Neurospora crassa OR74A: one gene and its partner. The protein of the gene in region 2 interacts with the protein of the main gene of each other region in a pairwise test. Links are inferred from orthologs where the notes say so. Each region holds a gene or a part of one and is shown on either strand. Other genes may lie near its edges. The genes, in order: NCU17251 and NCU04307.

What was found.
Region 1: the proteins of NCU04307 (region 2) and NCU17251 interact in binary tests that used the Saccharomyces cerevisiae proteins (3 or more experiments, as listed by UniProt). The link is inferred for Neurospora crassa OR74A from reciprocal best matches to the Saccharomyces cerevisiae genes UPS2 and MDM35.

Annotation. Positions count from the first base shown.
Region 1 is NC_026507.1:3,164,496-3,167,866, reverse strand, and holds NCU17251 (hypothetical protein), read right to left. Parts: upstream 1,927-3,371; 5' UTR 1,607-1,926; coding exon 1,566-1,606; intron 1,514-1,565; coding exon 1,476-1,513; intron 1,415-1,475; coding exon 1,338-1,414; intron 1,270-1,337; coding exon 1,176-1,269; intron 1,121-1,175; coding exon 1,119-1,120; 3' UTR 764-1,118; downstream 1-763. Other genes in the region: NCU02256 (exosome complex exonuclease Rrp6), read left to right, coding at 2,289-2,866, 2,926-3,259, 3,315-3,371. UniProt on the Saccharomyces cerevisiae protein: Involved in mitochondrial distribution and morphology. Mediates the import of UPS1, UPS2 and UPS3, 3 atypical mitochondrial intermembrane space (IMS) proteins lacking the two major IMS-targeting signals, into the intermembrane space.
Region 2 is NC_026505.1:5,567,967-5,572,563, reverse strand, and holds NCU04307 (MSF1), read right to left. Parts: upstream 2,877-4,597; 5' UTR 2,134-2,876; coding exon 1,537-2,133; 3' UTR 543-1,536; downstream 1-542. Other genes in the region: NCU04308 (hypothetical protein), read left to right, coding at 1-230; NCU04306 (methionine aminopeptidase 2B), read right to left, coding at 3,817-3,960, 4,027-4,597. UniProt on the Saccharomyces cerevisiae protein: Required for mitochondrial cristae morphogenesis and MGM1-processing. Controls the stability of mitochondrial phosphatidylethanolamine (PE). With UPS1, controls the level of cardiolipin in mitochondria.

The DNA of each region.
Region 1 (3,371 bases), on a different chromosome or scaffold from region 2:
ACACGCCGAAGCCCTTGGCGGCCCGAGTCTAGAGACGAATTGACACACAAGGTTAGCGATCCAGGCTGTTGCTGTTTCGGCGCAATGGTGGTTGGCCGGGGGCGGAGTGCCACAGTTTTTCCCTCTTTCCCATGGCATGTGACACTTACCACCACTCCGTAGTTCCAAGCGAATATGGCAAGCTCATATAGGCGAGTGACGAGGTCCCATCGGGCGGTGATATACCCAGCTACGAAGATGCCGAGTGTAAGAACAGAAAAGGGGTGCATAGAGGCGCGCTGCCCCTTACTGTTCGAGCATGCGATCGCGGCAAAAGTCTGGGCCGGTAGATGCTGTAGTCCGATGTCACTTTCCCTTGTGTGGGGAGAGGAAATGCGGGCGGATAGTGGGTGCGGTTATATGAGGAATTGGCGGGCGCTGTAATGGGAGGGGGAAAACAATACTCGACGGTTCGAAGAGGTTGGATTAGGTAGGTCGAAGTCGGGCAAAGCTGGTACTGACGGGAAGCACAACGGGAAGCCGAAAACTTGTTGATTTGGGACGGGGACGGGGGAGCAGGGCGATCAGATGCGTTATGTGTCGTGTCGTGGTGGACAGACTCGGCTCAGACTCGCGCTGAAGTTTATCGAAGCAGTTTAGGCAGTATTACAGGGAGTGTGGAGCGTTCTAAGTTCTAGCGCCCAGAAGCCAGAGTCCCCGAGCGCAACCCGACCTGGCTGCGACTGCACGGCACTCTGTAATGAACCGATTGGATGTTGGGGAGGATCCACTTCTCAAGGACGGGAAACCTTATTTGGAAGGGGAACATTCAACCGACTTGAAGTCATCCATGGCTTCCGTCCATAACAGAGAGCACTGAAAACAACTCAACAGAAGATATAATCAGAAAGGTACAGTCAAAGACCAGCGGGTGACACTTTTGGTACATGGGCTTTGTTCAAGACATGGAGGGTGTGCATAATGGAAAGTCCTTCCACGAATACCAGGCGATATATGATATATACGGAGAAGAGATAATTGAGCAATGTAAGGAGAATAACTGGATTGTTGCGGCTTTGTTCAAGGAGTTGGTCGACGAGTGGTACAGTAAGGTACTCAGACGTCGTCCAGCTCTGGTATTCTGAGCAAGTCAGTCATCCTTTCAACTTTGGCCATGTTCGTAAGCTCAAACTCACATTTTTTCTTGCCCATGTATGTTGAGTCGCTGTCCTTGAGTTCTTCCCGCGCCTCTTCAAGCAGCTTGTCGATGCCACGCTCTTTCAAAGCAACCTGTAAAATGCCATATGGTAAGCTATCTCGATGCTAGAGTACGGGCGCTGTATGGTTTTGCGTCCTACCTGCAGGCAAGAGCTATACTCCTTGAAGAGAATTGAACATTCGTTATTTTGTTCGGTACCATTGCCCCTAAGGTATTCTGTCCAGTATAAGTATCACACATGTCCACTGAGTTGGGGTGTCTGTTCCTGTAGACTTACTCTCACTGTACCATTTGAGAAAGCAAGTGTCGTAACGTCTACAACTGGTTAAGATGTTGTTTTCTTTCCGTATGAAGGACAAAAACTTACTCCTTGGCCTCGTTGCATTCCTTGGCGAGTGACTGGGACATCTTTAAAGTCCAGAGCTATGTTTTCAACCGTAGGTGTTGCCAACAAAACGATAGGCTTGGTACGGTGTCCGATGACTTATGGGTATCGACGGTATATCTATGTTTTGGGCAAAAGATCGTATAGAAGGGTGTTCGTGAGATACTCCAGGTGAATATTTTTGGTGGAAAAGACGGTTGTACGGAATCTCAAATATCAACGTTCACCGGTGAGTCCGCTTGGAAACCAACAAGTACCAGGTGCTATTCAACAATGGGGTTGCGGACTTCCACTTCGTCACAGGACGGATCTCAAAAGCCTGGACGCCGATGGATGAACGAACGTTGGTGGTCCAGATCAGCACAATCTTGGCTCTTGGCAAGCGCCCCCTTGGCCTTATGTAATCGGCTGCCCAAAGTCTCTCTACTTTAGTGCTTCTACTTCCCAGCATGGGCCATCAGGTACCTCTACCAGCGCAGAGCGGGAACAGCTCACTCGAGGCCCACTTGATGGCATCCATCGGGCAGCTTCCACTTTTCGAGGTCCCGTTCACTTTGGCGCTTTCTCCACAAGCCACATGCTGGGACTGTCCGCAAAAAAAGTTCCCAAAGAGCAGCAGAACGACAAACCATTTTTGGAAAATTGAACCGGGCTTCCACTTCCAGTGACGTCCACACCACAACGACTCCAGAACCACCGGCCAATATGGACGGCTCACTGGACTTCAAGAGCTTGAGGGAATCGCTCCAAGCCGCCCTGGTCGCTACGACCCGAACCGCCAACTCAATCGCCAGCGAGGATCTTCAGTTCCAGCGCACCGTCAACCCGACTGTCGGTGGTCAACTCGACAACAGCTCCGGCCGCCTTCTGTCCCTGGCCAACGGGCTCCTCAAGTCGACCGCGAATCTTACCGGCCAGAAGGTTGGCGCTCTTGAAGATGCCGACGACGTGGACATCCAATGGCGGAACATTGTCGACGTGATCGACTCGTTGCTCGAGAAAGCCGACACCTGCCTCGACGAGTACACCGGATTGATCAAGCGGAAGGATGCGCCTACCCCCGCCGACCAGGGCCGCGCCCAAAAACGCGTCAAGTCGTCTAACGATCGTCTTGACTGGTCCTTGAAGAGAGCCAACATTCTCAAACCACAGAATAACTTCGAGAAGAAGGTCGATAACTTCGCTACCGGTCCTTGGAAGCCTCTGTTGTCGTCCAAGCCTCATGCCAAGGTGTCACTGGAAGACAGCCTGACCACCTTTGTCGATGATGACAACAACACACAGTACGTCTAACCTTTCTTTCCAATATCATAAGAGCATGTCGCTAACATGAATCTCCCAGATACAAACACCCCTACGAAACCGAGATCAAGACGACACCGTACCCTGAGCATGTGTACAAGAAGCGCGAACCCAAGGAGTACCTTCCTATCGATTCGACATCCGCCATCTGGGTTGATACTTATGAGGGCGTCTTGGAGATGTTGGAGGAGCTCAAGCAGGCCAAGGAAATTGCGCTTGATCTGGAGCACCACGATTTTAGGTCTTACACCGGACTGTTGTCTCTCATGCAGATCAGTACCAGAGAGAAGGATTGGGTCATTGATACTCTTCAACCTTGGAGGCACAAGCTTGAGGTTCTGAATGAGGTTTTTGCGAACCCCAACATTGTCAAGGTGAGACACATCCTGGCCTTCTGCTTTCACTGTATTATCGACTAACTTGACCCAGGTTCTTCACGGTGCTTTCATGGATGTCATCTGGCTGCAGAGAGATCTTGGTCTCTAC
Region 2 (4,597 bases):
GCTCCACCGCCGCAGACGGAAGAACCAGAACCATCAACAAGCCCGAAGCGCAAGAGATTTTGCACGCAGTGGAGGAACTCTACTTCTTTCGGAGGTACGAGGAGGCAGTGGCGCTACTGAGAAAGGTATGGGAGGATGCGGGAGACAGTCTCTTTGATCGGGATACGACGGGGTTGTTGAGGTTGTATGAGACGAGGTGTGGGGAGAGGTTGAGGGTGAATGGGCAGTAAGAATTGGGAGAGGGAGAAAAAAGGAAGGGGAGGGGAGAATGGGGGAAGAGATGAATGGGTTGGTGGAATTAATGATACCCTTTTATTTTTACGTGCGTTGGTGATTACTTTGATTGATTGATGTAATGCAGTGCAGCGTTGGTAGGTTGGGTTGGTTTGGTTGGAGGTTCACATGAGATGGTAGTTCGTTCAGTTTGGTGTGAGCGCGAGGTTGGACAAGCAAGCATTATTTCAGCATGAGTTCATCGCGATGGGCTTTCAAAATACGAACGGCAGTCACGGATAGCGCCCAAAATGAAGCACGCAGTGTTTGAATGAAGGGAAATGTAAGATGTCTCTTATCTCAAAATTGAAATGTGAATGACGAGATCTAGCAAACATTGTAAATGCTCTAGTTTCCCTCTTCCATCCCTCTCTGTCCTGTCCATCATCTCCTTTTCCAATTCCATCTTAGCAGTTGCCGCAACCCGATTTATCTGAACCGTCTAGGATATGTACAAGGAGTTTCGTACCCCGCGCGTGTCCTCGGGTCGTCGCATCCAAGGCCATCAGTACCCCTCGCATCCTTCAAACCGTTTCGGAAACCCGGAAGCAAGGAATGATAAATGATGATTTTCAGTTTCCTTTGACCTCCATGCTCAATCCCAAGAATAACCCTAGAAATGAACCGGGGATAAGGGGGTAACTCCGAAAACTCCGCCTCAACACTGCTTGACATGATGGGGATGACAACGCAGAGATGAACACAAAAGATGAGGAAAGGAAAATGCAAGTCTATAGAAACACATCTGAATTTGGGATATCGAAATGAATAAAAGCAAGATAAAATGAAGATGCATCGCTTCTTCCCCCTCCTTGAGTAAATAATGAACACCGAACAACGCCGTCTAATGAAGTTGACTCCAAGTCTATGCTTTTTGGCTAAACTCCCGGACTCCGTACGACATCGCTTTTGTTTGTATGTAAACCCATCAATCGCAAAGAAAAAGAAAGAGAAGTGTGTGTGTGTGTGAGTGAATGCATCATTAATGCCGCGCCAAGCCAGGAGACAGACAATGCCTGCTGCACGGAACTGCCCGGAGCTTTTTTTTCAGCTCAATCGCTTGTTTGCTTGCCGCGGGTGCGCGACACGTGTGTGTGTCGCCAAATGTCGTGATTCGGCGTCGTGATCGAGCAGGCGATTTGATGATGCGCTACCGGCATTGCTGCTGCCGTTATGTGTGATGATGGTGCCGTCACTCAATTGCCCCAACGATGCAGAAATTCATCGAGCATCTCAGAGCGACCTCGGATCGCAAAAAGAGACTTAAGCAGCCATGCGGATGTTCCCAGCTTGCTCCCTGATGAGGCCCATCTTCTCCCTTTCCCTTTCCTCAGCGAAGACGCGCCTGCTCATGGCCAGCACGGACTCGAATCCTTCCTTGCCCTTGGCCGCGTTCTCCCGGAACCTCTTGACAAGGGTGTCCTCAATGCTGTTCTTGATGCGCTGCCAGCCACCAGCCAGAGCGGTGATCTTGGCCTCCTGGTGAAACTTGGTCTGGTGATCGGAGAGGGGCGAGTAGACGACGGTCTCCTGGACGTTGAGCAAGTTGCTCCAGGTGATATTTGTGGAGACCATGGTAACGGTCTTGGTCTTGGGGTCGACGTATGAAGTCTCAAACACCTGCGACTCGTCCATGCCGCCGCCCATCATGCTCTTGAGCCATTCTGGAGCAGCCTGACGGCAGGTGATGAGGCGCTCGGTGCGCAGGATGCCGGTGGCAGGGTCAACGCTGCGGCTGATGGTATCGACGGCGACAACGTGCGTCGACTTCTCGTTCCATGGGCAGTACTTCCGCCAGTTGGCAGTCGATACCTCTTCCCATGAGTAATTGAAGGTTTCTGTGTTGGAAAAGACCTTCATTTTGATAGCTTTGCGATGTGTTTTATTGAGTTTGTTGGTCAGGATTCGTGAGGTGGTGTCAAGATGGATTCCTCTTATAAGTGAAAAAAAATTCGACTCGGAAGCGCCGCGCTGACAAAAAGCAGACCGCAAGAACGGGAAAGACGATCCTTATGTCGACAATTGCGGTGACGCAAGCGAGCGGTCAGCTAGAAATAGGGCGTGGTGATGGTGGTGGTGGTGACTGTAAGAAATCGTCTGGACCAACGACAAGAATAGGACTTTTTGGTGGTCAAGGATTGGCTTGTGATAACGCAGAGAGCGGAGGAGCGCAGCAGAAAGTTCTTTCGCAGGGGCTAGACTAGTGACTAGTAGCTGACTGGGACCCTGGGTAAACAAAACCGGTTGATCCGAACAACGGCCTGGAACCTTGGGTTGATCGACGATAACGGAGCGCGTGCCTGGTTTGCTTGTGACACTACCGCTTGTACGTACGTCCCGTCTAAAAGGGGAAAATGATAGATTGGTTGTAATTGTTTGTGGTATGTGGTCGCGTGAAGGTACCTAGGTAGACAAGGCGGAGTGGAATGCAGAACAAGTGCAATACTATAAAGTGAGAGACACTTGAAAACAGAGTTGGACAAACTTTGTGAAGCCTCAAAAACAGCGAGACCGGAACGGAGCAGAGGAAGAGCGGTTGCGGCCTTTATGACTTGCCGCTTGTCATCGCGATATTCCTCGGCTTTTACCAATTGGAACCGAAATGTGACGCCTTTCTTTTTTTTTTTTTCTCCTTCCAGCGTTGTACGCCCCCGCGCGGTCCAGTTCAGTTAGTGGCTCACTGAGCCCCGTTGGTCCGTTCACACCCGTGTCTCACGAATTCTTATCGGGTCCGTGATAAACCAGAAAAAAAAGTGGCAACGCAGCTGCGCAGTCAGCCAATGGGATGAGCCACATTTTCCACAGTCAATCTCCACCAGCCTCAGCTTGGCGAGGTGTGGAAAAAATAGTCCGAACACACTGGCACCAAAAACCCACCAGAAAGTGTTCTGTCTTTTATTCGCACACCTCGGTTAGACAGGTCGGACACGGCGAATCTGACAAAGCCGCAGACGTCACAGCCGGCATACCTCCGTCATCCCCAGATGTCGATCACTCCGCCTCCGTGATCGCTTCCGTCACTCTTCGCCGCTGATTGACAATTTGGAAAGCCGTGGAATTTTTGAGCCTCTGTATCGGTACGGTACGGTTGTGGATCGCTGGGTCCGATTTGTGCGGCCTGCACGGAGTACGAGTGGATCTCTTGGGACCGGCTTGGCTCTCGAAGCTCCGCACATGCTCCGGTTGTCCTCCGTCTCTGGTCGACAGCCAGCTATATTGAAACATGACACGTTAGTTTTCATGTGCTAAACGAGTTCAAACTTCCAGCGTTAAATCCCTGCCATCAGCTAAAACAACCGTTACAGATTGACGAACCAAGTGTCAAAACGTCCTAGCACTCTGTAGATTGATGGCTGCGCGCTGCTGAGTTTCTGGCTGGCTCGAGCTTTCCTTCACCTCTCCCTGTCAAAGCGCACTCATCACCATGAACTCGTGGTGCTACAATCTTTTACAAGCAACATTACAGGAAGAAAACGCGAACCAAACAAATCCCGAACTTTTTTTGTCGTACCCTATCCTATGCTATGCTACCCCATTAATCCCTTAGAAATCATCACCACGGCTGATAACCTCCTTCACGGTAGGTCTGAGCAGAATGGTGTGCTCATACTGGGCAGTGTAAGAGCCCTTCTTATCAACCAATGGGGGATAAGCCTCGACAATACCCTGTGACACAAGGTTGTTCAACTGTAACACGCATCGATTAGCAACAGAATGATTCGGGCTGACAGACAGCGAACATCAAAAACTTACCCCGAGAAGATACTTGTCCTGACCCAAACGATCAATGTAACGCCTGCAGAAAGGAAGAGTACCAAAGTTCTTGGTGATCACGTTCAACAAGGACTTGGCAGAGGACAGACGGAGATCGACCTTGGCTGCATCACCACGCTTGGCGTAGTGCGAAACCTCACCCTCCTCATGCACGTAGCCGTTGCCCGTGCTACCGAAAGTCTCAATGGCAAAGACATCGCCCTCCTCCATCTTGGTCTGGTCGTTGCTCTTGACAATCGGCACGCTCTTGGTGCCGTGGATGCTGTAGTGGTTGATGGTGTGGCCGTTCAAGTTGCGGATGGACTTGACGGGAAGCATCTGACCGTTGATCTCAACCTCGTAGCTCTCCATGACCTCCTGGATGGCGGCACCAATGTCGCCCACACGCACGTCGATACCGGCCTCCTTGATACCGGCGTTGGTGGCGGCCTTGACGGCCTCGAGAAGGGGGTCGTAGCGGGGGTTGAAGGCGACAGTGAAGGCGCTGTCGACGATGCGGCCGTTGACGTGCACACCGAAATCCACCTTCATGACGTCGTCCTCCTGCAGA